Caenorhabditis elegans: one gene and its partner. The protein of the gene in region 1 interacts with the protein of each later gene in a biochemical or structural test. Each region holds a gene or a part of one and is shown in the gene's direction. Other genes may lie near its edges.

What was found.
Region 2: the proteins of nlp-12 (region 1) and ckr-1 interact in a test that uses a peptide from one of them, tested with the Caenorhabditis elegans proteins (one large-scale study listed by BioGRID).

What each region holds. Positions count from the first base shown.
Region 1 is NC_003279.8:1,840,104-1,846,744, forward strand, and holds nlp-12 (Neuropeptide-Like Protein), read left to right. Parts: upstream 1-3,280; 5' UTR 3,281-3,303; coding exon 3,304-3,358; intron 3,359-3,437; coding exon 3,438-3,496; intron 3,497-3,553; coding exon 3,554-3,682; 3' UTR 3,683-3,856; downstream 3,857-6,641. Other genes in the region: egl-30 (Guanine nucleotide-binding protein subunit alpha), read left to right, coding at 1-145, 216-323, 703-785; emr-1 (Emerin homolog 1), read left to right, coding at 2,357-2,495, 2,570-2,820, 2,873-2,983; tag-96 (Galactokinase), read left to right, coding at 5,118-5,214, 6,240-6,615.
Region 2 is NC_003279.8:6,684,442-6,694,416, reverse strand, and holds ckr-1 (G-protein coupled receptors family 1 profile domain-containing protein), read left to right. Parts: upstream 1-2,745; 5' UTR 2,746-2,754; coding exon 2,755-2,854; intron 2,855-4,160; coding exon 4,161-4,343; intron 4,344-4,946; coding exon 4,947-5,047; intron 5,048-5,097; coding exon 5,098-5,253; intron 5,254-5,497; coding exon 5,498-5,615; intron 5,616-5,659; coding exon 5,660-5,742; intron 5,743-5,791; coding exon 5,792-5,935; intron 5,936-6,278; coding exon 6,279-6,401; intron 6,402-6,617; coding exon 6,618-6,770; intron 6,771-6,816; coding exon 6,817-6,921; 3' UTR 6,922-7,068; downstream 7,069-9,975.

The sequences.
Region 1 (6,641 bases):
GAAGAATCGAAAGCTCTGTTCCGAACGATCATCACGTACCCATGGTTCACCAACTCATCGGTCATTCTATTCCTGAACAAGAAGGATCTGCTCGAGGAGAAGATTCTGTACTCGCATCTCGCTGACTACTTTCCCGAATATGACGGTTTGTAGAGTCTTTTATTGAGAGACTTTATTTGGGCAAATTTCACCCACCTAAATTGTTTTCTTTTCAGGACCCCCACGCGATCCGATCGCCGCCCGCGAGTTTATTCTCAAAATGTTTGTCGACTTGAATCCGGACGCCGACAAGATTATCTACTCTCATTTTACGTGCGCGACTGGTATGTCTTTTCTTTGTTTGCTAGGTGGAAAATATTCGAGCACGGGGTTCTAGCCTTCTTCATTGAATTTTCGCGCTCCATTGACAATCGTGTCTGCCGGATAAAGTCGTGTACTCCACACGGATAAATAAATTCAGTTTTACAACTAGAATTGAGCCGCGACACGCAACGCGCCGTAAATCTACTCCAGATATGGGCGAGCTAAAATGGCCCAAACTCTTCCAGGGAAGCCAGAACTCCGTGTTCGAGAAAAGCACTTATGGTAGCCACGGGTTACCGATTCGGTGTCCCATGGACACTTAGAGTTGCTCATGGCGAATTACTAAAAAATTGTTTAAAAATATCTAAAATTTTCAAATAAAAGGGACCTCTATTTCAGATACGGAAAACATTCGGTTCGTGTTCGCCGCCGTCAAAGACACAATTCTACAGCATAATCTGAAGGAGTACAACTTGGTGTAAGAAGAAAGTCGCATGTCGGATTGGATGATGATGATGATGATCCATCTCTCTCTCTCTCTCTCTCTCACTGGGTCGAGTGAGACACCACCACCTAAACCTAGGAAACATTTTCTTGTACTCCTTCTAATTTTTGTTTTTTTTTTGCAAAAAACTTTCTCTCTCTGTCTGTCTCTCTCTCCATCTCTTCCTTATTTTCTTATTTTCTCATTTTCCTCCCTAAAACAAATGCTCCTCCCGAATATTCTTTCCATATAAGCACTTTTTTCTTCTTTTTTTGGATGTGCTTTCTGATATAGCTAATGCAAAAAGAAACAAAACTTCTCTCTCTCTCTCTCTCTCTCTCTTTCTGTCCTGTCTATACTCATTTATCATCACAAAAAGTCGGTTTTCACATCCTTCCCTACCCATCAACCTAGTTTCCGGCATGCAAAAACACCACCTAGTCTCTCTGTCATTCACAAAAAAAATTTTTTTTTTTGTCTTTTTTTTTCTCACAAAAATCCCCACAACAAACCGCCGCTTCTTTCGTTTTTTTTTGTCTTGATTCAAATTTTTATTTTTTTTACCTTTCTAACAATTCTAACCACAAAAAAAACACATTTTTCGTGTTGGACATAGTTTTTTTTTCCTCCTCAACTTCAATTTCTCCCACCCACATCCACATAATTCAAATATTATAACGTTTTTTTTGAGTTTTCACCATATTTTTTTCGAAAATTATCGAATGCTTTCTCCACTCCCCTCCCCAAACTTCACCCTTACCCTAAAAATCCCGTTTTTCATATTTTTTTCCCATCAAGCTAACCTCGAAATCCTCCCCCCCACCCTATTTTTTTCCATTTTTCATCGATTTTTTTTTGTCATTTTTCCTTCTTCTTCTTCTCAACCGAAAAAAAAACCATCCCCCATCCACACACCATCCCCCCTTCTTCTTCCCCATTATTGTATCGACTTTTTGCGATAGTTTTTAATTTCATATTTATTTCTATTAACATTGATCTAATTTTATGTAAATGTTTTGTGGACAAAAAGAAATGGTTGAAACTTTATTAAAAAAACCTCGTTTTCCGTATTTTATTTATGTATGATTCGAATCATGATTCAGGAAAAAAAGCGCGCGCGAAAATCATTGATTTAAATCTGCGGGCTGGAAATTCCTCCGTAAATCGACACAAAGCGATATCGTGACGAGACCCGTCCACTCTGCGTCTCTCGCCGTCGCGTTGTCTCTCAGCCAATTTGACTTGGGTTTGAAATTATTTTTTCATAATTTTTCATTTTCTCCTGTTTTTAATCAGTTTTTTGTAGAATTTTTCATTTTTTCGGTGAAAAATCAATGAATAAACCATTTTTTAAGTAGAAAATCGCCCTTCCTCAATTTTTGCTCGAAAATTGTCATTTTTTTGCCTTTTCCAGACCATCTCACAAAAAATGGGCATTTTTAATTTTTTTGGTAAAATGTTCAATAAATAAACGATTTTCTCAAGATTTTAGGTAGAAAATCGCTCGTTTTCCTCAATTTTTGCTTGAAAATTGTCATTTTTTGCTTTTTCCAGACCATCTCACAAAAAATGGACGTCTCCCAGCTGACAGATGCCGAACTACGCGATAGCCTTAAAAGCCACGGGGTTTCTGTTGGGCCAATTGTGGCGACGACCCGCAAGCTCTACGAGAAGAAGCTTATCAAGTTATCAGACGGAAGCATTAACAGTGAGGATTTGAATTTAAATTATTTATTAATTTCTAAATAACATTTTTAAAGTTTTCGAACCTCTAATTTCCAGATCAATCAAATCTCAACGACTCTCAATTCAACGAGGATTCATTGATCATCAGCTCGTCACCGAAGAAATCACCGCCACAACGAGTTTTCCAGAACGTGTCAGCTGCAACAGCGGCAGCTACTACCTCTCCCGAATCGGACAGCGACGATTGCGAGGAGTCGATGCGATACTTGACGGAAGAGGAAATGGCCGCCGATCGGGCATCGGCTCGTCAAGCTCAGAGCAACAAAGGAGGATTCTTGGGAAGCACGGTGAGTTTTTCGCCCTTTTTCTGGCAATAAAAACTTATTTTCTATTTTCCAGATCACATTCACAATTCTCTTCGTCTTCATCGCCGTCTTCGCCTACTTCTTGATCGAGAACGCCGAGCAGTTGAAGCTCGTGGCCGAGACGAATCCGGAGGATACTATTTAAATTATTTTTTAAATTTCTATTTTTTTCTTTGACTGTTGAAATCGCTATTTTTACCCCTCTCCCTCCCCCATCACTCTTTTTCTTTAAATCCTTTCACCCCATTTTCATCACTTCATTTGGATAAACGCTATGAATCTCTCTCTCAGTTTTTACGAGCCCATCAACTCCAGAAGCTAACCAAAATGGTAGGGGGGAAAGGCGTGGTCCCCCCGGCTCCGTTGGGAAATATGACGAATCTGTAGTTTACTGATGGGGGGGGGGGTGGTATAAAAGCCCGACACCTCGACTCGGCGAAACTTATTTCAATTGCCTCCGACAAAATGCTCCGCCACCACAGCTGCGCCCTGCTCATGCTCATCCTCGTATTCGTGGAGGGTTCGTCGTTTTAATACTATTTTTAGGCCAATTTTTAGGCCAATTTTTTTTCTAAAAATTACTTCCGTTTTTTTTACAGTTTTTGCAACACAGTCGCCGACGTTTGACCGTCAGGATCGCGATTACCGGCCACTTCAGGTAGGGAACAAGACATTTTAAAAAAAGTTAAAAATATTATACACACATAAATTGCAGTTCGGCAAGCGAGATGGGTACCGTCCATTGCAGTTCGGAAAACGCGACTATCGGCCTCTCCAGTTCGGAAAGCGAAGCAGCGGCAGCTCTGGACCAGTTGTGCTCGAGCCAATCTGGGAATGGCAATAACCGACCCCGTCTAACTATTTTTCCCTGCTCCGCCATCCAAACCACCAATCGAACGATTTATTTTTTTCTAATAACCAACACAGAGACAGTCGCCAATGAATCATTTTATTGTTGAAGAATTTCTTTTCTTTTTTGCAATTAAAATCAAAACAAAAAACTTTGAATAAAGCTTTTTCTCATTTCGGTTTGATCTACGTAGATCTACAAAAATGCGGGAGTTGAGACGCAGAGTTCTTTGCAGAGTGTTTTGGCAAAAAATTCCCGCATTTTTTGTAGATCAAACCGTAATGGGACAGCCTGACAACACGTGTTTCTGTGGGTCTCGCCACGCCGGCAATTAATAACTATTTTGCTTCGTGGTGAGACCTATTGTGGAATATTCTGGGTCTCGTCGCGATGGAAGCTACTAACACAAACTTGTAATTTCGCTTTGAAAATTCTGGAAAAAACTCTGAGCCGTGACGGGACCCAGTCTAGATTATCTTTTTGCAAACCAGTGTGCGCCTTTAAGGAGTACTGTAGTTCAGGGGTGGGCGGTAAACGATTTTTTTCCGGCAAATCGGCAAATTGCCGGAATTTTAAGTTTCCGGCAAACCCGCAAGTAGCCGGAAAAACAACAATTTTCCGAAAATTTTCGGCAAATTGTGATTTTGTTTTTATTATTTTTTGGAAATTTTGGAATTTTAATTTCAAATGGCAAAATTAAACGCATCCTATGAATTTTCCTACATCTATTTTGAAAATTAAGCAAATTTTATGAAAATATCCTTTAAAAAACGGGAAAAAATTCAAAATGACACAGTTTTAAGTGTTTCCGTCTTGTAAAAATTCCTCTAAACATTTCCGGCAAATCTGATATCCGGCAAACGGCAATTTGCCAAAAATGAAAATTTCCGGCAAATCGGCAAATTGCCGATTTGTCGAATTTGTCGACAAAAATTTAGGAAAACGTCAAGAAAGAGGCATATTACCGAGATGAGAAATTCTGCTTCAAAAAATGCTGAAGCCGGTCTCGAAGCGACACATTTTCATTAAATGCGAAAATATATGTGCGCCTTTAAAGATTACTGTAATTCGAAAATTTTCGTTGCTCACTTGTTTAAAAAAAACATGGGTTTTGATATTTTAAATTTGGTTTGTCCAAAAATTTTGGTATTTATTTGAATAGATTTTTCTCGAAAATAAGAAAATGTGTGAACTACAGTAATCCTCAAAGGCGCAGACCGTACTGAACATCATCGAATCCCTTATCTATCAGATTCCCAGTACACCATGCACGCAACACGTGGCGGCGGGCAACACAGAGTATGGTCAACATGTTAGAGACGCAGACAGTCATATAAATATTATTTTGTTTGTTATAGGTGGTGGTGCCCCTATTGTCTTTTCTACAACTTCCAATTTCCTATTATATAGTTTCAGAAATTCGTTAAAAATGGTCTCAAATGAGCAGCTCGCCGAGCAATTCGTCAAATTGTATGGTATTGAGCCAGAAGTTCGTGTCACGTGTCCGGGCCGTGTTAATTTGATTGGTACGTTGTTATTGGTCTTGCCACGATCGAAACTTTCGCAGAAATATATGTTTCTCTGGAAATTTTGCTTTACTGTATAAAAAATGTATTAAAAATAATAAAAAGCATTTCGAAATATTTCCGCGGTTACGGTAGCTCAAAATTTTGAAGTTTCAATCGTGCCAGGACCCAAAAAGTGTTAAAAGTCCCGGGTTTTTTTCCTATCAGGGTTCAGGTATCAGGGACACGTTGAAATTATAGATTTTCTCCTCAAACACCTAAAATTGTATTTTATAAAATAAAAGATAATTTGAAATTTGAAATTTTGACTATTACGGGAACACAAAATTCTGAGAATGCATATTGCACAACATATTTGACGCGCAAAATATCTCGTAGCGAAAACTACAGTAAGTCTTTAAATTACTACTGTAGCGTTTGTGTCGATTTAGCGGCTCATTGGTCATTTTTAACCGATTTTCAGTACTCTATCGATAAATAAATTATTTATATTCACCTGAGCCCGTAAATCGACACAAGAGCGCTACAGTAGTCATTTAAAGAGTAGTTTTCGTTGCGAGATATTTTGCGCGTCAAATATGTTGTGCAATACGCATTCTCAGAATTTTGTGTTCATGTAATACAAAAAATTAAATCTTCTCCTCGGGGAGTACACGAGCCTACATAGATCGTCATGGTTAACTGACCACAGACTTGCAAAAATCATAGGAACTTGAAACAATTGAGAGAAAAATGACACTTTTTTATTTTGAAAAATGAAAGTTTAGTTGCAAAACTGCTGCCTTAGGTCTTGGCACGAATGAAATTTTATCAGCTACACGTGGTGCCAGGCTGTCCCATTACGGTTTGATCTACAAAAAAAAGCGGGAATTTTTTTCCCAAAAACAGGTGACGTCAGCACGTTCTTCACTATGCGAAATCAGTTGAGAACTTTGCTTCTCTTCTCCCGCATTTTTTGTAGATCAACGTAGATCAAGCAGAAATGAGAGTTTTGACACCATGTGCAGCTACCGTAACATTTCCAGGCGAGCATATCGATTACCATGACTATGGTGTCTTCCCAATGGCCATCGACGCGGCGACCACAATTCTGGCCGCAAAAAACGACACGAATTCGATAGTTTTTTCGAATTTCGACTCAAAATACGAATCATGGAGCTCACCAATTCCATGCCCATGGAAAGGATGTACTTCACCAAAATGGTTCGATTATTTGCTGTGTGGATGGAGGGGAATTATGAATAGAGAAGATGGACAAGAACAATTCGGAATGAGCTTCTTATTATACGGAACTATTCCTCCATCTTCTGGTCTTTCGTCCAGTTCTTCGTTGGTTTGTGCGTCGGCGCTGGCCACGTTGTCGTTGATTGTGGATAATGATCCTTTTGAGCATATTTCTAGGTTTGTAGAGTTTTTTTTTTTGAATT
Region 2 (9,975 bases), 4.8 Mb from region 1:
ACTAATTATAAGAATATCTTTCCTCAAATATTTATTTTTCAAGTTTTTTAAGGTTCTCACGTATGCATTATGGAACGCTTTTTCTTTTCCAGTTTCAATGCATATATTTTTTGAAAGTACCGTAGAATTCTTTTCAAAAAATTCAGGTATGACTAAATCGCAAAAAGGCGTCATCAAAAAACAAACCAATTGAAATAAATCAAGCATTTACGGTCATTGGTCAGAATTTTAGAGCAAATTGATGGGCTTGTTCTCATCTTTTATGGTGTCTTAAAAATATTGAGAATGAGGTCAGAAAGTTTTATTTATGAAAAATTAATAATCATTTTCAGAGAATCTGATGATTTATCTTCAAGTTAATTTTTGATAGAAATTTTTGATATAAATGTTTGATATTTTAATTAGTTAAATAGCGTCGTAGCAAACATGCAAACATTCCAGTCATTAATTTCGAACATGCTCACAAAAATTATCGTTTTAGTGAAGGTAACAAATAAATGTAACCAAACATTTCTTGAAGTGCTCTATCTGAAAATTACTATTCCCATCAATAGTCAATTATAACGGGTTAGTTAAATACCTTGATCTTGCGCAATTTTTTAGTCTCTCATTTTCAATAAGTTTACTTGTAAGTTTACTCAATTTTTCAATAATAATGCTTGAAATCTCATGTTTTTCTTAATTGGCAAATTAATCTTTTGATTCAAAAACAATGTTTCACAAATGTCCACTCAATTTCTAATTAATCTCTAATTTCTTCCGATTGTGCGTCATATTACCCTTGTCTGGTTTTTTTTCGTTTCCGCTGCAATTGTCAGAAAGATTTTTTGAAAATCGTATTGTTTCCTATTCTGTCAATCTCTAATCACAGAGGTCTTGTATTAAATTTCCGAATTTCAATGGCTCTGTGTGAGATTTCATGAAATCATTCGGAGAAAAAAGTTCCTAGTAGAAAAAACAAAAAAAGAAAGACAAAAGCCTGTGAGATAGAGAAAGGGGGCGGTTTGTGTTGTGCTCTTCGTTAAATGGAGCTAAACTTTTCAAGTGGATTCTCCTTTTTCAAAGAGTATGAATAAAGTTTCTTTGTGTTTTGTTTACTTCTATTGTTTTTGGTTTTTCTCAAGTACTTGCAAAAATAGTCCTAGATAGTAGTATTGGTTTTTTGATTGGTCGTTTCCTAATTTAAAGCTGCTCTGAACTTTATAATATGTTTCAAGAAAACGTTTTTGCAAAAAGTACCCGAAAATTTTCTTAAAATCGTACATGTTGGTTGCACCATGTTTACTTTTTTTCAAGTCAAACATGCCCTAAGGGTCTAATTCATTTTTCATCTTTTTTCCCATTTTTTCTCTTATATTCAGAACAGATGGGGTGACTGGAAGGAAAGAGAGCACAGAATTGTAGAGCAAAAGCTCAGACTCCGCCCACCTTCGCAGAGAAGGAAGAAAACGGGGGTCCGGGTGTGAAAGGGGGTTGTGTGATACTTGATCCAATTACATATCACAATTCAAATAAGAAGAACTCAAAGAAAATCGAGAGAAAGACATATTCTAGATTGATCTATTTACTTTTTATTTGCCCCCGCTTCTTCTGTCTCGTGCCACCTTTCATCTATTTCTATATTCCATATATAGTTTCAATAATAATTGTTTCATTTTCTTAGAGAAAACCAAAAATCTATACAAGTTTCTGATAATCTTCCATTTATGAATTTATTTATTATTGGTTTTATGAGATGTTTAATTTTTTCTTCAACATTTTTTCAAAATTCCAATTTCGTTGTTGCAGTTTGCGGTAAACTTTTTCAGATAGCATACCTAATTCCGCATATGCTTAATTTTTTATCACTTCAATTCAACTGTTTGCAAGCACTAGGCAGAAGTATGATCCTTTTAAAATAGGCTCTGCCTACTCGGAGAGCTTATCGTGGTGTAAATTTTTATACAACCAAAACTTTGTTCATTAAAAAAATTTGCTGAAATCGAACAATTTTTGTAAAAAAGTTAGATATCATGGCTACACTGTCCCAAATGAAACTGATTTGAAAATTAAAAAAGGGAAAATTTCGGGTTAGGCACTAAATCATAAAATTCTAAGAAAACTTCTATAAATCAATAAGCATATAAAATATAATACTTATCTGATAATTCTCAGAATTTCAAAAGCAAAGATTATTAATCATAACTCTCAAATATTTTGAAACATTTATTTCCTTTGTCATCCCGTTTCTTTTTTTCGCCCTTTTCTTTTTGACCCAGAACAATTATCCAGCCATCAAATGTCACGTTCCTAAAAAAATAATTCCCTGAAATAACTTTTTCCCGTTCAACTTTACTATTTTTATGAGTTCTTCCAAACTACAAACTTCTGAATCACTTATTTCATTATTTCTTCCCGTGATCACAAGTTTTGATTTATTCGAATTTCCTTTCTGATGTCTTCAAATTTTTGCTTCTTTCCGTTCAGTCCCACCTATTTGGTGATATCAGCTGATTTTTGAGAATATTTTGATTTTCAAACTATTTATTTATTTTTTATTCTTTACTTCGATTTACTTAGATGAGATGCTAGCACCTGAGATCTTTTTGAAATTTTTCTGAAATATCCCAAATTTGTAGTTCAAGGCTGATAAAATAATCGTGAAATCTTGTTTTAAAAAAGGAAAATATTATTTTTATAATTTCCTTTTTCCGCACTTTTCCAAATATTTTTCTAGAAATATCTCATTTAAAATTAAAAATTTTCAGATACACAATGCCAAAAGAATGTTCAGTGATAATCAGTCCTTATACAATTATGATATCGTCAATATTTCTACTATGTCTTATACTTTCACTACTTGGAAATGCAATTGGTAAATTTTTTAAAGCTTAATTTTAAACAAATACAATCTTAAATACAATCTTATAAATTTGAAAGTTTCGAAAAATATTTGTACATTTTTTGATTCATTTTTTATTGAAATAGCCCGTTTTTGAAAAACATAAAAAAAAAACTTCAAAAAATGCATCAAAGCTGTGTCATTATTCAAATATTTCATATTTATTCTAACATTTATGAACATTTTTGGAATATTTTATTCGAATTGACATTATTATTCCCAGTTAGAAATCCGAACCTTTTACGAAAAGAGAAAGAGCAAAGAATTCTATTCTGAAAAAGTGTGTTTTGGACTTGTTATGTCTAAAATAGGACCACCGATATGACACTCCTAAGGGAAATGGAAAGGCGAGACATATTTTAGAGGGAATATGAAATTTGACAAGTTATTTGTCCATTTTTGTTTTCAAGAATTTTAAGACTTTTCGGGAATCCCATCTTTTTGAGGAAATGAATTTTTGAGCAGAAGTGAAAAGAAAAGCTCGCGATATATTTTTATTTTTTACAGGAAGAAGGGTTTGAGAAAATATGAAATGTACAAACGCCAAAAAATTTAAACTAAAAATTATTCAAAATTAAATTTAAAAAAAAAGAAATTAACATCAAAATTTTGAAAAATTGGATTAAAAGTAAGAAATTCAGATTGAAATTAGTTTGGAACTAATATATTTTTATAGCTGATCTATAAATTATTACTTGCCTTTTATAGAAATGTAGAAAAAACAATTGGCGTATTTTCTGGTGTCACTTGATCTTTGAACGCCACCGAGACACCTGTTCCAAAATTTGAGAGATTTTTAAAAGTCAAAAAGGGGTTTTGAATATTCTATTTGTTCTGGAATTCAATTTCAATAAGTGGGCAAAGATCAAGTATAACTCATTGAAAAAAAAGTAAAGTAAATGAGAGTTTTTTTTTGAAAGTGAGAAAACAATAGAGGATCTTGAATTTAAAAAAAATATAAATCGCCATTGAAATACGCAAAAAATTAATTAACAAAATTTTTTTGAAATAGATTTGGTTGAAATTTAAGTTTCCATAAAACTGTTTCAAACTAAATTATTATTTTGTTTTGGTTTTCTGTATAACTTATTTTTATTAAATGTTTAATAATATTTTGAATTGATTGAATTGAAAACATTTTTCATTCTCAAAGTCAGAAGGATCCGATACAAATTTTAAAAAATAAATAAAAGTCCAGAATTTGTCTAGTTTCTTAAAACGAGTTTCGATTTTTCAAAAATTTTATTGCAACATAAAATGCAATTTTTATTATTTTCAGTGATCCTCACAATCCTCGGAAAATCACATCGATCCAGAAGCATCACAAATTTCTATCTTCTCAACTTGGCATTTGCAGATCTTCTTCGTAGTATTATATGTATTCCAAGTACACTTCTTGGTGAATTGACACAATGTTGGCTCCTTGGTGCCGCCATGTGTAAAATTGTCGCATTTCTTCAACGTAAGTGAAAATTCAAAGAGGAAGTGAAAAAAGGATTATGAGAAAAGTAGTACATCAATCAAAAATGACGAGGAGTATCGGAATTAAAAATGAAATGAGAGAAAAATGAGAATTAATTGGGAGGATGAACATTTTTCAGACATACAACTGGTTTTAGTCTTTAGTCTTTGAAATAGATGTGGGTAAGTTGAGAGAGTGTTCTATGGATTATTATTATGATTGTTTACTCAATGAAAAGGAAACACCAAATTTGAATTTTAAATCAAGGGTTTCCTTCTAACGGAATAGTAGCCAAATTACTAACTGGGGAATGTCCAAAAAACCCGGGAGGACATTTGGCTCAAAAAAATCGTCAGCTAAGCGAATCTGAGGCTGGATACGCCTGAAAATTCTGTTTTTATCTCAGCTCCCCACTGATTTTTATTTTGAGTCAAAACACAACATCTTGATCAGATTTTAAGCATTTCAGCAAAGTTCCAAAAACACCAATATAATTGTCCAACAGGATAGGTATCGGGTAGGGCTTGTAGGTGTGTAATATCAGAAACCAAAAATTATTTTATTCAGTTCAAATTTCTTTCGCTATATCTATCAAGTTTTCAGCTGTCGGAGTTTGTGCATCCGCGTACACTCTTGCTGTCATTGCCATTGAACGATACTATGCAATTTGTCGACCATTGGAATCAAGAAAATGGCAGACAAAGGTACATCTCCCACTTATTTGTGGTGTTCATCCAAAGAATTATATTTCCAGAAACGAGCACTGATAACAATTTCATTGGTATGGTGCTTCAGCTTCTCAGCCAATTTAACAAGTCTTTTCCTCTACGACGCTAACCCTGGAAAATTCACGTGTGACTCCACGAAAGGACCACTCGTTGATTTTATCTACCAACTTTATTTAACTTTTGTAGGTTTTTGTTTTCAAAAATTACAGTTAGTATAGAATTTTCATACATTACATAAAATGGAGTCTAGCATCTTTAAGCATTTGATGAGTAAAGTTATCAAAACTATTGGATTAAACATAAAAAATATTACTGATCCAATTTTTTGAAAAATATTTTAATGGAGCGAAATTATTTTGTATCTTCTGTTAAATGTTTCACCATTTGCAACATTTTCATAAACTTTACCGAATTGAAACGTTTCAGACACTATTATTCGTACCTCTTGCCCTGATGGTCGGTCTCTATGGAAATGTGATAATCACTCTGAATACTGCCATTAACAGTGATCATCCCACAGTTGAACAGCAGATGATTGAAAAAAGTAGGTTCCAGCATTTGGTCTCCATACACTGTGCAAGTTTTCAGCTCTCCCGTCTCGTGCTTCATTTTCGGATTGGTTTGTTAGTGCAGTGCAACGAGTTCCAAGTATGAAAGTTGTTTCAAAAACTGTAAGTTTATATAATAGTTGAAAAATAGTGTCGTATTGAATATTTCCAGTTTCAATTCAAAGAGAAAAACTCTCTGTCAATTCCTCAAACAAGCGGATTGTCTGTTCGTCCCAGTAGATCATCGTTTTCATCCTTTTTCTCAACACCACGTGGATCGTTTGATGTTACGATGCTTTTAAGGAGCACAAATCAAGTGAGTTTTCGAGAAATCACAACAATATTTTAAAAAATGGGACAGCTTAACTATTTGTTTAGTTTCAATTATAGTACAGTTTTTGTTGTGCCTTTTCAGAAAACCCAGTCAGCACTAAAAAAACTAGACATCCAATTCCAAAGCAGATTTCCACCGTTCGGCACTGTGTGCTAGGAATCAAAAATTACCGAGAATATTAAAATACGATGCTCTGGAATAAGATACTGTTTTCTATCAAAGTTATTGTAATCTTTACAACTTGGATTTATTATGAGCATTTTTTTAACGAAATGAATAATGGTTGTCAATAAAAAATATTTGTAATAAAGTATATGTTTTCCAGGAAAAGATCCTGATCGCCAAGAAGAAAGTGACCCGAATGTTGATAACACTTGTGATTGTTTTTGCATTTTGTTGGGTGCCATCTTACCTGTATTGGCTACTACTCAGAATGGCTGAACTAGCGGTGAGTTTTTTCGGAAGATTTTCCAAGTTTTTCAATTTCCTTTTCAAACGAAAATCAAACTAATTCTATTTGGAACGGATCTGAGCGGCATATAGTTTTGGAGAATTTACAAATACCAAATATACATTTTAATTTTCCAATTGTATAATATTTTTGCATAACATTTACTGATTTTTTCGGCCAAAACATTCGACCAAACGAATCATATCATTACAGGCGACTGATTTGTGGAATCCTGGACTCAACTCATCATTGACAATCATGACATACATCAGCTCTTTGGCAAATCCAATCACCTACTGTTTCATGAATAAATCATTTCGCTCCTCGGTATTAGCTTACTGTCGTCCAAAACCAAAACGCCCATTGGTAAGAAATCAAACAATTGTTTATTCCAAATATTCCTATTTTTCAGACTCGTTGCTCTGCTCTACCAACTCGTAAGAGCCCTTCATCTCCAACTCATGCTATTCCAATGATTAAAATTGATCTTGTACTTGATAGCAGTGTTCACATTTAATATCATTTTCTTTTTCTTATTTGTTTTACTTTCAATGATCTCTTTGCATTTTTTCTACAAGTAGGTTATGATCTCTTTTACGCGCCAATTCTAGTCGTTTTCGGGTTGTAAAAAATGTCAAATGCCAAATAAATATAGAAATTGAATAGAAACGTTGTTAAAAATCGAAAGTGTTTGAATGTAATCAGAAAAAAAATTGGACAGGAGATACCAACGAAGTATTAATGTATGTTAGCTACATCAGAACCATGAAACCATGAAAACAAGAAGCACCGCGCAAAATGTGCAAAAGCAGAAATAAAATCTAGGATATCTGTAATAGAAACATATATACTAATTGGCTGTCTGTAAATTCTTCCCGTACCAGGGTTTTTGAAAATTATTTGCCAAACAAGTTTTCAAAGTTATAAAATCGTTTTCAAATTTTCTAAAAAATAACCTTTATTGTTCTTCACCTCCGAATGAAATTAAATCTTCTCAAACATACATAGGCATCAAAAGTCACACAATAAAAATAAATAGATTTTTGAACTTAAACTCATCAATTAAACACATCCTTTTTTGCAGAAACAAAAGTTCAGTGAACCGTATCAAATTGGATTTTCAATTTTTTAAACGAAAACACACTTTCATTGGATACAACAATGAAGAACAAGCAATTTTTGTTTCAAAACACAAAAATTTTCATTTGTTCCGAACCGGCGCCTCACATTCTATTTCATTTTGTTTAGCTGCTCATCGTTTGTGGGCTTTAATTTAATTTTGAAGATCCTCTTTAGTAGTAGTCTATGGTTTTAGAATAAACGAGATGGGAATGAATGCACTATTTTACTAAGGCATTGACTATACAAATAAACAAACTGCTCGGATTGCCACAATATTTTTTTCCATTTTTTTCCACTTAACAATTTTTATTTTCATTAATACAACTAGGTTCATGTCAATCTCAAATGGTTTTTCTGCGATTTAACGTACTTCCACTAGTTTAAATATTTTTCAACATGATTCACAGAAAATGATTAATTTTTAAGAAAAAATCCGATTTTTTATGTTTTGTGTAGGTGGCAACAGTTGATGTTTGCCCAAAAAATTTTAAAATGGGAAGGAAATTGGGAAGAGTTGAGCATAACTTGGACAACACTTCTTTTGTGGTTGCACCCAATTTTAACAAAATTTTGATTACCCTTTCCGTGAATATTGGCAAAAGTAGGATCAAATTTTGTTCATTGCCTGAACTAAGTCTTGCACTATTAGAGTTACAGTAGATTCAGGAATCAACACCAGAAACAGACTTGTGAGATGTGGAATGTAGAAGTGAAATTTTTTTTTTTAGTTTTTGGATTTAATTTTTTAAAATTTTTAAAAATATCTCCCTATTTTTCTACTCCACTCCAGAGCTTATCTGCGCATTTCACACATTTCACACAAATTTTTTTAGAACTTTTAAAAACGTATCAGTCATTTTCTGTACATCGTCTCAATCTTCAACTAGAATCCGTTTCGTTTTTTCTTATTTTCTATTCATTTTCAGTCATCTGATCCTTTATTTCTTCATCCAAGTTTACTTTTCTCTCCTTTCCATTTATTTATTTTTATTTATTTTCTTACTCCTTCTTATTCCTTCCTTCAACATTTATTTCTATTTTAATTCGTATTTTTTTCCTTAAGCCTTGAGCCGCAAGGCACGGGGCAAAGAGGCCGGAAATGTATGTATATTCTGAATTTTAATGTGTATCAAGATCATTCTAAGCAAGAGTCAAAAGAGATCCGGAGGTGGAGGAGGAATTCTCGATTTCTCGCTTCAGTACACTTTCACGTTTTTTCTTATTTCTGACACCTTATAGTCAAATCTATATTTTGTACACAATTTCTAGATTTCAGTGCCACCATATGTTTCAGGAAAATTATTTAAAAGTGGTAGTCTCAGCCAGCGAGGTTTTGCTTTAAAAATAATAATATTTCAAAATTATAGAATATCAACAAAATAAAACGATCGAACACGCAATGCGCACATTGTGATCGCTGAGTGTGTCTGAAACTGAGATATTACCGATTGGTTCAAAGGGCATACCAAAGCGCTGATTGGTCGTGCGGACAAGTTTCAAACAGGGAAGAGTACGTTCCTGGATCCTCGATTTTGGAGAAAGATTTCAAATTTCTTTAATATTTAAAATAATTTTCCGTTCCCAGTTTTCTCTGATTTTTGAACGGTGACTTTTAAGAAACTTTTCATTAAGTCCAGACATACGTATTCTTTCCAGCTGTAAATTTTCACTTACCGGAAGTGTTTATTTTATTAATTAACAAAATATCCTTGAGAACTTCTAGTTAAAATGTGCACTCTATGTTCCAAATATCATGTTGTCCGTTTCCTAATATTCCTTATATGTCTGAAAATCACGTTTAACTTCCAAAGCTTTTGTTTGGCTTCTCCTATCTCACGAATTAATTAAAGTCTCGAATTCTAACTTTTATGTCATCAATATCGATTTTCAAAGTTACTTTGTTGTTATTACAATTGGAACACAATTTGAAAATTAATTTCATTCAATTGCCAAAATTTGATCATTTTGATTAACGCGATATGTTTTTTTTTCATCACAAATTTTCTGAAAGTCTCTTTAAAAAAACCTTGAAAGATACGATTTCAACTCGGAAATAAAAATATGCGTCCCTATGGATGTTACGACTTTTAGATTCAAAATGTTAATTACCACCTGGTATCGTTTGCTGTTCCGGTACAACTTCCGAAAAGCCCACTAACGGATTTCTTATTGACCTCTCCGCGTTTCTGGACACTTTTTCACATTTTTAAATAACTATTCCAAATTTTTAGCCGTCAGAAAACTTTTTGAAACCAACAAAATCGAAAAATTCTTTTGGACGGGGAAACGAAATTGGAGATTGGCTCCGCTCATAGAACTGAACGTCTGATGTTTTCCACAATTACAGTCTGAAGAATGATTAAGGTCAGGTAACGAAACAAACAAGAACCTTCTATATATTTGTTTCAATCAATATTTTGAAAATCGAACCGAAAAGTTCATTTGTTGA